Linked DNA regions of Tamandua tetradactyla. The protein of the gene in region 1 purifies or fractionates together with the protein of each later gene. This does not show direct contact. Links are inferred from orthologs where the notes say so. Each region holds a gene or a part of one and is shown in the gene's direction. Other genes may lie near its edges.

Region 1 (7,178 bases):
TAATATTGCAATCCAAGGATAAAATCCAATGGTCAGGATGTATTTTTTATACATTCTCAGGTTTACCTGCTAAACTTTGTTATATTTATATATATATATGTTAATGGGCTATTGGTTTGAAATTTTCTTTTCTTGACGGCCTCACAAAATAAGCTAGGAAATGTCCTATTTTCTGAAAGAATCTATAAGAATGATATTTTTTTCCTCAACTATTTGGAGAGAAGAAGAAAGAACAGTGGAGACAAATAGGAAATAGTAGTAAGGTGGTAGATTTTAACCCAAACTCTACAATAATTGAATTAAATGTATATGGACTCAACACCCCAATTAAAAACAATTCAGTGGGGAAAGGTTATTTCAACAAGTGGTGTTAGAACAACTGGACATCCATATAGGGAAAAAAAAAAGAACCTCAACCTCTACCTCACACCATAAACAAAATTATTTTTTAATTAATTCATGATGACTCATAAATGTAAAACCTAAACCCATAGAGGCTCTCCCATAAAACATAAGAGAATATCTTTATGATCTTGAGATGAGATAAGCAAAGATTTCCTAACCAGGGCACAGAAACACTGAAGATAAAAGAAAAAAAAAGATAATTTGGGATTTCAAATTAAAATCACTATTCAGCTAACAAACAGGAAAGCAATAGATTAGGAGAAAACATTTGCAACGTGTATCTGACAGAGGGCTTGAGTCCTGAATATCTAAATTTCTATAACTCAATAATAAAAAGAAAAAAAACAAAAAAGGGAAAAAGGCTTGAAGAGCTACTTCACATATGACATGTAAATAGCCAATAAGCATATGAAAAACTGCTCAACATCACTAGTTAATAGAGAGCTGCAAATTAAAACCAGGATGATATACAACTACAATTAGAAGACTGATACCACCAAATGTTGGGAGGGATATGGGACAACTAGAACACTTATCTTGATGGTAGGAGCGTAAAATGGTAAGCTACTTTGGAAAACTGAGAGCTTCTTTATACTGTATCTACTCTCTGACCTAGCAATTCCAGTCCTAAGTATTTAACCAAAGAAAGTTGAAAACATATGACCACAAAAAACTGTACAAGAATGTTCATAGCAGCTTTATTCATAGTAACCCCAAACTGGAAACAGCTCAAACGGTCATCAAAAGGAGAATGGATAAGCAACTGATGGTATATTCATACGATGGAATATACTAAATAAAAAAGAAAACATACAAACACGCCATTCTTACATGCAATAACATAAATTTCAGACAATATGCTGAAGGTAAGAAGCCTGACGCAAGACCACATTTTGTAGGACTGCATTTACAGAAGTTCTCGAACAGGCAAAATTAATCTATGGTGATAGAAAGAAAGGTGGGGGTAAGGCAATGACTGGAAGGAGACATGAGAAAACACTCGGGGGCGACTTAAATGTTATATATTTTGGTGGGCGTGTGGGTTGCAACGGTGGTTACATTTGACAAACCTCGTTAACCTGTGCAAATGCTACTTCAATTAAAAAAAAAGAAAAAGCAAAAAAAAAACAGAAGCGTTGGTTCATAACAGGTGCGTGTAAGTTACTGCTAAATGAAACTACCGCGCCCTACGTGATGAAGATGCGGGAGAAACGGATTCGCAGGACTTCCCGCAGGTTTCGCGGCCTCCCACAGGGCAGAATCAGCCAGGGTAGGGGGCGGGACTTAGGACCTCGGGGCCGCCTCTCTCCAGCGCCCGCCCCTTCCGCTTTCACGACGTTCGGTCTGCGTCCTAAATTGGAATCACTTAGCCCAAAGCCGGATGTAAGATAAACTTTCTCCCGTGCAAACAAACCGCCCTTCATTATACTGTCTCATCGTGGTTTCTTAAATCTACCCCTTCTCGACAACACCCAGGTTAGCGCTCTGCACCCTCTTTTACACCCCTGTCGCACGCAATGGTAGCGCCCGGCTTGATCTCAGACTCTGGAGCACCCCATTCGAAGAGGGGGAGGTTTTGAGTTTTACATCAAAACAGCATCCCTTCCTTTCCAAATGTGATAACCGAGTAGTCCAGGGGAGAAAAAAGTGGGATGGGATGTGGACAGCAACCTCTCTCTGCAAGAAATAGGAAACGATCTAAATGACATTCTCTTTCTCTTTTTGCTCCCCTCTCATCGGGTGAATAGTGAGCTGGTCCGAAAAAAGAAACCGGAAATGCAAGTGCAAGTGGCAGAAATGCAAATATGGAGCCAAACAATAACAGGGCTCCCTTGGCCTCTCAGATCTGGACAGTTCTCCCCAGTCCCGCGGGCAAACCCCAGCACTTCCTCCTTCCACGCTGTACAGTCTTTAATTGGATTTTTTCCTCTACCTCTCCAGGAGGGCAAAGATCCGGACGTTGTGGGACCTTCCTTAGCGGCTTGGGCTTCCCTGACCACCCCAAATCCTTTCGGGACGAAGCTCAAGGTTCCACCACGATGCCATGGGCTCTAAAGTCTCAAGCCACGAGCTCCCAATGTTTCGAGATCATAGTCTCATATCCCAATGCTCTGGGCGTCTTATTTAATAGTTCCTCACACCCAGCTCTGGATTGGGAGGTAGGGTCGGAAAGGACCCGTTAGATTCTTTCGAGATTCCCCAAAGCCCCACTCCACCGCCGAGGTGTCCAGCTCTGAGTTCGGCTGAGTCTAGCACCCCATCATTTACAAGCCTGTCATCCCAACATTGCATTCCCATGTTGATCCCGCTAGACAAGCTCCCATTTCCTCCAAAATTCACTAAGCCTCCACTGTCCCCCCCAGCCCCCACCCGCTACCCCCCACCCCCGCAATTCTCTGAGCTGACAATACAGAGCAGAGAGCTCTTGACTCAGAGAAGACTCATCAAGCTCAGTTAGGGGCTTACCCGAACCTCAGGGGAGCGTGTCACCGTCCTGGGAAGCACGCTCCGAGCCCGGACGCCAGGTACCCCCGGAGCCCAGCAGCTACCTGCGCCCAGGATGGTGGCTCTATACTTTTGAGGAGCTGAAAACTTTTAGCGCCGGTCTGAGCACATGGGAGGGGAAAGTCCCAATCCCGGCAATCCTCGCGAGGTTCCTGGCACAACGCTTGCATTCGCCATGACAAGTAAGGGCAAGCAATTCGCCTGCAGGCGAAGGCGAAGGGGCGGGGAAAAGGAAAAGAGGGCACCGAGAGAGTCTGCATTCTGGTTTAATTGGTGTTGTAGCTACACATATTTTGTGGTGGGGACGTTCCGCAAGCCAGAGATTCGAGGGCAGAATTGGTGGAAATCATCTCGGAGAAGTCTTGCTATTATGTAAAATATTTAGGGTGGAAGGAAGAAAATCTTTGCACTTGCTTTTCCCTCTGCTTGGCGCTCCATTTCCCCAGACAGCTGGATAGTTTCTTTTCATAAGCTAAAATGTTGCCTTTTAGAAAGGCTTTCCTTGATATTTCAGTCAAAATATTGCTCCAGATACTGATACTCAGTACCACATCAACCTGTATAATTTCCTCCACAGGCCATATCACTATCTGAAAATATATGTTCATTTGCCCATTGCCTTCAATGAGCAGCAGCAAAACCCTTATGAGCACAGAGACCCTGCTCTCATCTTATTCACGGATGGATTCTCTAGTACAGTGCTAAGTAGCAAGTAAAGGTTCAAAAATAAATATTTATTGAATGAACGAAAAGGGAGGCAGGTCTGAGGAATTTGGCGAATGAGAGGAAAAAGTGAGTCAAAAGCAGAGGGTGCCAGCGATTATAGCGCTGGCACCCTCTGCAGGTAAGGGGAGGTAGGGACTTTAAGTACCACCGCGGTGAACGGCAGGGGGAGCTCAGGCACTTCTCGCCAAGGCAAAACTCTCAGACTACGACTCCCAGCAGGCACTGGGGCTCCGGGACTGGATGGGAAAGGCCAACCTTCTGACCTGTTTGTTACGTCCCCGCCCCCGCCCTTCCCGTGGATCTCCCGCGAAATCTAATCCGGATGCGGAGGTCCAATCGGAAGGTCGGTCCAAATCCCGCGAGAGCAATGACGCGTAGCGGCCCACCCAGGTGAAGAATGCTTGTTCCTAACCTAGGTGTCCTTCGTCTCGCTTGCTGGGGTCTTCTGCCTACTCTTGGAAGAGAAAAGAAGGCAAGGTGTGGTTCTCCAGCCCTGCGTCCGGATCCCTAGTAACTTTGGAGCGGCCCCGACCCCTCCGCTGGCCAGGCGGTCGGTAGCCGGCGGGAAGACTGTTGCCGGGCCGGGGGCCAATGCCAACTTCGCTTCTTCTGCAGTATGAAAACTCCGGACTCGCGACCATTAGCTCCGGACTGCTTTCGTTCAGTACAGGTCCCGGCTCCAGTCCGTGACTCTTCCCCGGCTTTCCCGATGCGTAAACATACGGACCCTGAACTGATGACACCGCCGCCCAATGAAGATGATCCGCTCCGGATGTCCCCAGATCCTGCGGCTGGCTCAGCTGTGTTCCAGGAGCATGAGGAGGGGATCCCATCTTCTTTCTCCACTTCCCTGGAAACAAGGTTTGCTACTGCTAGTAAGTTGAGTCCTAGAATTGAGGAGCAAGAACCTTTTGAAAATGTGAACCTTCCTGCAGAAGAAACGAACAGGCCGGATTTGGGGCCTGGAGAAGCCATGGAAGGTTTGGAGAAACCAACTCCAGAGGGTGAGGGCTACACGGAACCAGCTCCAGAGAATGAGGGATATACGGAACCGGCTCCAGAGGGTGAGGGCTACACGGAACCAGCTCCAGAGAATGAGGGATATACGGAACCGACTCCAGAGGGTGAGGGCTACACGGAACCAGCTCCAGAGAATGAGGGATATACGGAACCGGCTCCAGAGGATGAGGGCTACACCGAACCGGCTCCAGAGGATAAGGGCTGCACCGAACTGGCTCCAGAGGATGAGAACTACATGTAAGTGGTGATTGCAGTTGATTCTGGAGTCTGAGGAGTTTGGAAGTGTGAGTTAAGCCTTATCCACCAGTCCTCAGCCCCACTTTTCCAAGCCCGTTTCCCCCTTTGCTTTGGCGACCCAGGTTTGTTGTTCCCCCCACCTTCTTTCCAGCACTTGGAACTACAGCTTCTCCCAGCTACCTCGATTTCTTACTGGTTCCTGGTCAGAGTTCAGCACCCAACCTGAGAACTTCTTGAAAGGCTGCAAGTGGTAAGTAAGGATAATGGGACAAGGAGATAGTCACCCTCAGGATTTTCACCCTAAAGCACCCCAATTCTCTGGAGAAAGGAGTAAGAATCACTTTTAGGACTTCTCTTGAGAACTCAGGGGGTTTACCCAGAGATAGGCAAGGCCCTAGCCCCTACACGTGGAATATGTGTCTGTCCAATCTTCTAACTCTTTCCTACTTCTAGGGCCCCTGATGGTTCCTGCATTTTGACCAATAGTGCTGATAACATCTTGAGGATTTATAACCTGCCCCCAGAGTTGTACAAGGAGAAGGAACAGCTGGAATATGCAGAAATGGTGAGGGTAGGGGCTCACTGCCCCTTCATTAGACACTGCACCTTTAACTCCTTCCATATAGACTCTATAGTCCATGCGCCTCTTGCTCACAAGTGGAGCTTTTCTTAATGAATTTCCACAGTTAGCATTCTCTGTCCTGAATTCTGAAGTCGTTTTGAGAGATATTTGTGCCTTCTTCGGTCAGGAATTTGTGTTTCTCATTAAAAAAAAATAGTAAAAGTGGATTTCTCATGGCAGTATTTGTTTACAGGTGTTTATTTGGTGACTAGCAATGTGTCAGTCACAGTATTCACTGGTGTGATTAAGTGGTGAGCATGACAGTTGAAGAGCTGGTTTATTTTCTTGTGTGAGAGACAGACAAAAAAACAAATGAACTTGTAAATGAATAATTAGTCAAGATTGTTATAGATTATAATAAGTAATCTTTATAAATGCTATGAAAGAAATAAACAGAATAAACAGAGAATAGCTGGAAGATATCATTTTGAATAAAACAGAGAGGGGCTCTCTGAAAAGGAGATATTTCAACTGAGACATGAGAAGGCTGATATTGGACCAGTTATGTGTAGAGCTCTGGAAAAACCATTCCAGGAAGAAACAATAAATTACAAAGATCCAGAGCTGGGAAAGATCTTTGTGTGTTCAAGGAACAGAAAGAAGGCCAATATGGCTGGGATGAGGTGAGTGAGGGGGGTTGTGGGGGTGAGGATGGGAAGGTAGCCAGAAGCCATGTCCTGGAGGATCTTGTGAGTAGGCATTTCAAATTTATTTGGGAAGCCATGGAAGGGTTTAAAAGAGAAGGGTGAAATGGTGACTGAAGTTTAGAGAATGGATTGTGAGGGGGCAAGAGTGAGATCAGGCAGAGCCATTAGGATGCATTTATCATGGCCCAGACAAGAGATGGGTGATGGTGGCTTGGGCTAGGTTGGTTGGTATAGGAAGAGATGGAGAAATGTAGATGGATTTGAAGTAACTTTGTAGGTCTTGGAGATCAGTTGGATGGGGACATGCAAGGAAAGAAGCAATCAAGGGTTATGTCCAGGTTTTTGCAACTGAGTGGATGTTGGTAGAGTTTATTCCAGAGGAGGAAATGAGATATGAACAGGTATTGGGATTGAAATCAAGTGTTTTTAACAACATTAAGTGTGAAAGTAAAACTAGAGGAGAGATCGCGGCTGGGGATATATCTTGAAAAGTAGGAGAGCATGTAGACGGTATCTGCTGCCTTAAGATTGGAATTCAGTCTCAAGAGAGGGTGTAGATGAAGGAGAAGGCCCAGACAGAGCCCTGATCTCTCCAGCTGAAGAAATTACAAAGACGGAAGCTGAGAGTCATGTCTAATGCTGCTGAGAGATGGAGTCAGGTGAATTCAGAGGAATGATCCAAGAACAGATTAGTGACCTTAACAGGAGAACTTCCAGAGGAGTGATGGAGGCAGAAGTGGGTTAGAGTTGGTGGAAGAGTAAGTACGGACAATTCTTTGGAGAAGGTTTGCTGTGAAAGGGAACCAGTGAATGGAACAGTGACCAGAGGGAATGTGGGGGTCAAAGAAATAATACAATGAGGGGGATAAATTGATGCTATAGGAGAGTGAGAGGTTAACATAGTCCTCGAGAGGGTGAGTGAAGACAGGATCTAGACCACGTTAGAGGGCTTGACTTTCATAGACATAGAATCCTTTGCAGTAGGAAGAAAGGCAGTGCATAGGTTCAGAAACAGC
Region 2 (7,758 bases), on another chromosome or scaffold:
CCTTTTATTAAAACCCAATCCATCTCTGGTGTGTTGCATTCCGGCAGCCAGCAAACTAGAACAATAGGTTTTGTATTATTTTTGCAACTGACCTTTAAAAAAGTGTGAAATTATTTCAAAATAAAAAGTAGGTTTTTTGTTTGTTTGTTTGTTTTTAGTCTCTCTGTGATAGCAGTGTGGAAAATGAACCAGAGATGAGGGTAAGGCTAAAAGTTAGACTATCCCAACAATCAAATAGATGATGATGCGGTTCTGATATAAGGCACTGACAATGAAGATGGAGAATATGAGATGGTTTCTTGAGATAATAAAGCGAAATGAACAGGTGTTATGTGGGGGAGCCAGGGAAGAGTGAACAGAATGACTCCTGGATTTCTAGTTTAGGTGGCTGACTAGATAGATGATGGTTCAGAGCATAAGGGGTTCAGTTTATTTGTGGACTACCCCTCCATGAAGCTTGTGTGTTTTGTACCCTACTATGAGCCAGTTGACCAAAATAGCTATCATAGCAAGCACTCTGAATGAAATTGCCACAGAACAAAGCACTGTTTCTGCATTTAAAAATTTTTTACTCCAGATTCATTCTAAGATTTAGAAAATGAGATTGATTTTGGAAAGATGCAAAATATCTGGAGCAATTTGGTCATATTCTCTGTTGAGTATTCAAAAATTTTTTTTTAATTTTATTATGGAAAATTTCAAGCACATGCAAAGTAAAAAGAATACCATAATGAGTTCCCATGTCCCCGCCAACAACTTTAACAATCATCAATACATTGGCCATCTTATTTCATCTATTCTGCCATCTACTACCCATCCTTTCCCCTTGCCTTTTTTTGATACTTAGGGACAAAATGTTTCGTGTGTGCTAAAATGTGCATAAAATTAGCCATTTTTACCATATTTACATGTACAATTCAGTGGTATTAACTACACTCATAATGTAATTATTTCCAAAATTTTTCATCACCCCAGTAGACTTTATCCATTAATCAATAACTTCCCATTGCACCCCAACCCACATCCCCTTGTAACCACAAGTCCTTTAGTCTCTATTATGTTGCATAATCTAGATATTTCATGTAAGTGAAATCATACAAACTTTTCCTCTGGTGTTTGACTCATTTCACTTAGAATAATTCAAAGTTCTGCTATGTCATGGCACTTATGAAACTTCATTCCTTTTTATGGCAGAATAATATTCAATTGCATGTTGTTTTGGTTTGCTAAAGCTGACAGAATGCAATATACCAGAAATGGACTGGCTTTTTCAAAGAGGATTTATTAAGTTACAAATTTGCAGCCCTAAATCCATGCAAACATCCAAATTAAGGCATCTAGAGAAAGATGCCTTGACTCTGAAGAAAGGCCGATGGGTCCACGGTTTCTCTGTCACATGGGGAGGCACGTGGCAACATCTGCTGTCATTTGCTCCCAGCTTCTGATTTCAAACGGCCCACTCAGCTGCTGTTTCAAGTGGCTTTCTTTCTAAGAATCTGAGTCCTCACTTAGCTTCTCTGGGGCAAACTCTGGATTTCATGTTAGCTTATCCATTTCCAAATGTCCACGCCTTTGTTTCATCACTCTACTTTCTATGTTGGCTTTCAGCTGCCCGTATGTTTTCTGACTTTTCTTCATAGAGGACTCCAGTAAAAGGATTAAGATCTACCTTGAATTGGGTGGGTCACATCCCCATGGAAACAACTTAATCAAAAAATCCTACCCGGGCGGGCCATGGTGGCTCAGCAGGCAGAGGTCTCGCCTGCCATGCCAGAGACCTAGGTTCAATTCTAGGTGCCTGCCCGTGAAAAAAAAAAAGATCCCACCCACAACTGGGAAGGTTACATCTCTATGGAAACAACCTAATCAAGAAGTCCCACCCAACAACAGGTCTGCTCTCACAAGATTGGATTAAAAGAACATGGCTTTTCTGGGGTACAAAACAGCTTCAAATCAGCTCACCTGCATATACCACATTTTGTTTATCCATTCACCTTTTGATGTGCATTAGTTTTAAATTCTTTTCACTATACACCTAGGAGTGGAATTGCTAGTTCATGTGGTACTTCCATGTTTAACTTTTTGAGAAACCACCAAACTGTTTTCCACGGTGGCTGCACCATTTTTACATTCCCATCAGCAGTGTACAAGGGTTCCAATTTCTCCACATCCTTGGTAACACTTGTTACTTTCTGGGTTTGTTGTTGTTGTTGTTGATGTCAATGATCCCAATAGATGTAAAAAGGTATTTCTTTGTGGTTCTAAGTTGCATTTCCCTAATGACTTATGCTATTCAGCATCTATTCATGACATTATTGGCCATTTGTTCATCTTCGAAAAAATGTCTATTCAAGTCCTTGGCTTACTTTTAATTGCGTTGTTTGTATTTTTGTTGTTGAGTTATAGAAGATCCTCATATATTCTGAATATTAAACCCCTAACTCATGTATTATTTGCAAATGTTTTCTTCCATTTTGGGGGTTACTTCTCACTCTTTTGATGATATTCTTTGATGCACAAAAATTTCTGATTTTGATGTGCTTCAGTTTATCTTATTTTTCTTTTGTTGACTATGCTTTGGATGTCATATTTCAGAAGCCACTGCCAAATCCAAGTTCATGAAGATTTGCCCCTTATGTCTCTTCTAAGTTTTTTATAATTTTAGCTCTTAAATTTATAACCTTGACCCATTTTTAGTTAATTTTTTAATATGGTGTAAGGTAAGGATCTAAATCAACCCAGGATTTTGGACCCCCAAAGTAATACTATTTCTATCATTGCACAGCATATCAGTTTCTAAACAAATAACCATAGAGTGTTTATGTGCTACAGGGAGGTAATCAGGCCCTTTGAAAAGAAGGCTGCACCAAAGGCTTATGGATCACAGAGTGTTTTAGTTTCTCTGGCTACTTAAGCAAATACCATATAATGGCTATTGGCTCACAGTTTTAAGGCAAGAAGTCCAAATCAAGGCGTCATCAAGGTGATGCTTTCTTCCCAAAGACTGGTGTTCTGGTGGTGGCTGCTGGTGATCCTTGGTCCTTGGCTTCTGTCACATGGTAATGTACATGGCGGCCTCTCCCAGCCTCTCACTTAGTTCCACTAACTTTCTGCTTATGGTTGCTCCAGCTGTGGCTTTCACTGTGTCTGAATTCCCTTCTAATTATAAAGGGTTCTAGTAATAGGACTAATATCCCACCTTATTGAGTTCAGTATTAATAGTTAATACCTCACCTTAACTAAAAGTTCCTACTTACTATGGGTTCACACCCACAGGAATGATTTAAGTTTAAAAACATGTTTTTCTGAGTATATAGCTCCAAACCACTGCACAGGGCATCCAGGAAGCTTCGTTTTCCAGTGCTAATATCCTGGTGATGCATGCAAAAGCACCTTTTTTTTTTTTCACATGGGCAGGCACAGGGAACCGAACCCGGGTCCTCTGGCATTGCAGGCAAGCATCCTTGCCTGCTGAACCACCATGGCCCCAAAAGTACCTTTTGATTACAGGATTCAGTACTTGCAACAGTAGCCTTTCAGGCTATGGCAGGCATTCCGCACTTTATGGGCACACAGTAATTACTTCTGAATGAACTTCTCCTGTGTAAACTTCCGTACTCACTTGATTGGAGACAATATAGTAGTAAAGGAGCCTAGAAGTTTATAGCATGGCCTCTGGAATCATTGCCTTGCATTGGAATAGTGTTTCCATCTTCTTACTGGTTTACCTTTGGCTTCAGTTCCTCATCTGCTAAATAAAGATAATGGCACTCAATTAATTGGATTTTTCATAGGACTGCTGGGAGGATTAAACAAGATAAAGCACGTAAACGATTTAGCACTGTGCCCAACATATGATTGTGGAGGATTAAACAAGATAAAACATGTAAACGACTTAGCACTGTACCTAACACATAATTGTACTAAATAATCGTTCGCGATTTTAACACTTAGGCTCCCTAAAATCAGGTGGCTATGTTATATAGGAATTATCAGCGGAAAAGGAGAGTTCTAGTTAGTCTAGATTTAGCAGGCAATCATAGCTCCATAACTAGGTCTTTTGTACTTAAACAGGTTTATTTAAACCTCTATCTACCACCCAGTATAAATCAATGTGAGACAACCAACCCCCATATGCAAAGCAAAGAAACCATCTAGCCAAATATCTCTCTTCCGACTCCCTTTCACAATGAGTAAAACAGAATAAAAATTCAGGTCAGGGAGGTTGGCAAAAGCCAGTTCCGCCACACCCACTAGATGAAAGTTAACGGAGGGGACCTCACCGCTAGAGAAGGGTGGGGAGATAGGAGTGTCTCCAGCATTCGCCTTTAAAATCTCTAGTTATCATTTCTGCCTCGCCCGAGACCGCCCATAGCGCCTCCGGCCCCAATATCTCGGACCAACACCCCACCCCTCTGCAAGCTCGGGAACTCACGGTGCGCAGTCTTTTCGCCTGGCGCGCGGCGGGCAGCCTTCAACGTCATGTCCGCGCCGCGCCTCAGGCAGGCCCCCTACTCCTCCTCGCGGCGCCGGCGCCGATTTCTGGAAGGTTCGTCAAGACCGTGGGTGCACACCGTTATTCCGTTGCCTGCAGGAATCCGCGTCCATCCGACCTTCCCGAAGCCGCACAGATCCAACCAAGCTTGCCATGCCGGAGAACGTGGCTCCCCGGAGTGGGGCGCCTGCTGGGGCTGCCGGCGGCCGCGGGAAGGGCGCCTATCAGGACCGCGACAAACCGGCCCAGATACGTTTCAGCAACATTTCCGCGGCCAAAGGTATCGCTCTCTGGGTCTGTCTGGTCTTGTGCGGGTTATTGTCCGTTTTCTTTTCCTTCTAGTCGTTTTCGATTGGCCTCCCGGTGGTTGAAACTTTGCAGAGGTCCTTTCTGTTTCCCCCCGGTAATATTCGAATTCTAGTAAGGAGGCTTTTGGACTTGATTTATTTGGGTTTTAGTCCCCCGTGATTTTTCATCCTGGGGTGTGCGTCATTCATCGCTTGGTCGCAGAAAACGGTTCGGTCTTGAGTATCGAGGCCTGCGTGTCCCTTGAGATCTGACACTTAAGAGTTGTCGTTTATCTACTTTTTGGATTCACTGGTAGAATATTGTTTGCACATTTTTCAGTTCTCTTGCTTGTTATAAAAACACCTTTTAAATAAGTTTGCCTTGGCACAGCTATTAAGAGGAGTTTGGGTAAACTGCATCTTCTTTGGGGCGGGGCCCATTTTACCCCCGCAGTGGTGATCGATCGTGGAGTGGAAAGGACCCCGAAACTTGGTCGGTAGTGTTTGAGTATAATCATGGAACGCTACATTGCGTGTGCAAATTCAAGAAACGTGGACAATTACTGGTTTTCGTAAAACAGTTTGGCGCATGGTGGGAATGGAGAAGATTTGAGTTTTATTCTCTGCTTCATTACTTCCTAGCTTTGTAAGTTTTAAGTGTTTCACCTCCGAGCCAAGATTTTCTCATTTATAAAATTGAGAAGGAAAATGTTTGCTTTTTAGAGCTTGATTAAGAAGAAGTCGAGCTTAAGTAGGAGAGCGAGGAAGGAAGATGAAGACAAAGCTTTTAAGATCCTGCTCAGGACGATTATTAAGAAGAGTGGGTATTTTATTTGGGTATGTGAGAAATGAGATTGAAAAGGTAGTTTGGGCTCACATCTTGAAGGTCAGGGTGTCTGATTAATCTTCAGCTTTAACAATTCTTCCGTAGAATGAGATGGTAGCTAACTTGTAGGGTTGCTATGAGGGTATAAATGAGATAATTTTTTTTTTAACTATGTATGTAAATACGATTTTGCAGTTACTTGAGGTGATCAGCCCAGGTGACTGGGAGGTGATGATATTAAAAGGAATAGGTAACACAGTAGGAAAGACGGTAGAAGAGAAAATAATAGTTTCTAATTCGGGCTAATGAATTGAAGGTATCAGAAAGATGAGATGCATGGATTTAGAAGTCATTTGCAATTTCAGGACAGAATATACCTGGAATTAAACATTTGATAGACATTTTCTGAGGACCATACTTGAAGGCATAAAATTAGATTTATTAAACTAGAAGATGTTGAAAGATAAACTCTGGGAGGCAAAGAGATTTTCAGTATGTTGGCAGATTATCAATAAGGAAGACAGAGAATGGGAGGTTTAGAAGAGAACCCTTAGAAACTGCCAGTACATAGAGAATTGAAACAGGATAAGAGAAGTATGAGTGTAGGAAGGAAAGACCACCTAAATTATCTTTGAACCTGACTCTTATTAACATATGTAAGAAGAGCTCTGAGAACAAAGGGGCACAAATAGTTTTTCCAAGTCAGACAAAATCCTTCAAGCTAATCAGAAAAGTTGCTGCCTTATGCATCTTTAGTTTAAATTCAGGGAGCCAGTTTTTTGTTTCGGTATTACCAAGAGATATAGATAATAGTGCCATTTGTGGATAATGTTAAACACAAACTCACAAAAGTAGTAGTAGTTTATTACTATCCAGCAAAAGTCATTTAAGAGACACTATTGAATATACAGTATATTAAACCACATTCTGAAATATAAGCAATCTAAAATCGTATTTTTATGTTTTAGGCAGTATGTATCTCTGTATCAAGAGTGTTCACATTGATAGGACATTCTTAAAATGGATTGGTCTGCTTATAGAATCACGGCCATATGGGTCTGCTAAAATCCCCTGAAAGTGTAATGTTGACTGGATAATTAGGAACAGCAACCCAAAGTTATGGAATAATTATATAGAATATAAATTTTAATGTATACCTAATATTTCTCTTTAAAATTCTTAAGTTTTTATGTATGTTCCTACCATATGGGGGAAAGCGTTATCCGAGTTGTGGAGTATACAGAATTAATTAGGGCATAATCTCTGCAGTATGATTGTGGGGCAAAACGGTGTGTGAGAAAGGGGAAGATTTAATCGTTTATCCTGGACTTGTCAAAGAAAAGGGACTGGGGTATTGTTCATCAGTTTCAGTTTCTCCTGGGAAGTGATTGGAAGTGTATTAGTACAATAGAAATTATCTACAAGTAATAAGAATATGACTTGGCGGTTTGGGGGTTTTTGTTTGTTCTGTCAAAGAGTGTTTTGCTCTACAGCATTTTCAGAAGTTGTACCACTACTATTTGCTCTGTTGAAAGTCTTAATGTTGATTTTTTGAATGTGGGCAATCTATATACCAGGTGCTGGAACCACATTAGTGAACAAAACAAAGTCTTTTGCCCTCAGAGATTATACTGTATTTGAGGGAGACAAAGTGAACAAAATAGTAAATTACTTAGTCTGTTAGGAAAAGCATGGCTTTTCCTATGCTATTTGGCCTTTTTTTAAAATTTATCTATTATTTTTTATTTTAAGAAATGGAGGAAATAATCCAATCTTCAGTAATCAAAGTTTGTTCTGCCTTAGGGAGGGCACACATACTATGCACATTGGCTTTACAAAACAAAGCTGAAGCATTATACATTTAATAGGAGCAAAGTAATTCTGTTTCCAGTAGATTATCATATAATGAATTTTTCTTTAGCGTCACAATGAACTATTGTGCACCATATTCTAATAAGGACAGTTTTTTTGAGAGGAAAAATACTTCGCTCTTTGAAGACTCTTGATTTCTTTTTTCCTTCTGTTTACAGCTGTTGCTGATGCTATTAGAACAAGCCTTGGACCAAAAGGAATGGATAAAATGGTAAAAAAAAAAGAATGATTTATTTTTTACTGAGCACTACTGTCAGCACTACAAGATTTGATGTAGA

Evidence for each region. Proteins that work in one complex are often made in the same cells at the same time.
Region 2: the proteins of WRAP53 (region 1) and CCT4 purify together in Homo sapiens (co-immunoprecipitation; 3 studies listed by BioGRID and IntAct, with this or other methods). This does not show direct contact. The link is inferred for Tamandua tetradactyla from reciprocal best matches to the Homo sapiens genes WRAP53 and CCT4.

The regions. Positions count from the first base shown.
Region 1 is NC_135332.1:61,507,988-61,515,165, forward strand, and holds the start of WRAP53 (telomerase Cajal body protein 1), read left to right. Parts: upstream 1-3,940; 5' UTR 3,941-4,252; coding exon 4,253-4,893; intron 4,894-5,044; coding exon 5,045-5,143; intron 5,144-5,346; coding exon 5,347-5,458; intron 5,459-7,178. UniProt on the Homo sapiens protein: RNA chaperone that plays a key role in telomere maintenance and RNA localization to Cajal bodies. Specifically recognizes and binds the Cajal body box (CAB box) present in both small Cajal body RNAs (scaRNAs) and telomerase RNA template component (TERC).
Region 2 is NC_135343.1:34,675,317-34,683,074, reverse strand, and holds the start of CCT4 (T-complex protein 1 subunit delta), read left to right. Parts: upstream 1-4,490; 5' UTR 4,491-4,648; coding exon 4,649-4,775; intron 4,776-7,638; coding exon 7,639-7,691; intron 7,692-7,758. UniProt on the Homo sapiens protein: Component of the chaperonin-containing T-complex (TRiC), a molecular chaperone complex that assists the folding of actin, tubulin and other proteins upon ATP hydrolysis.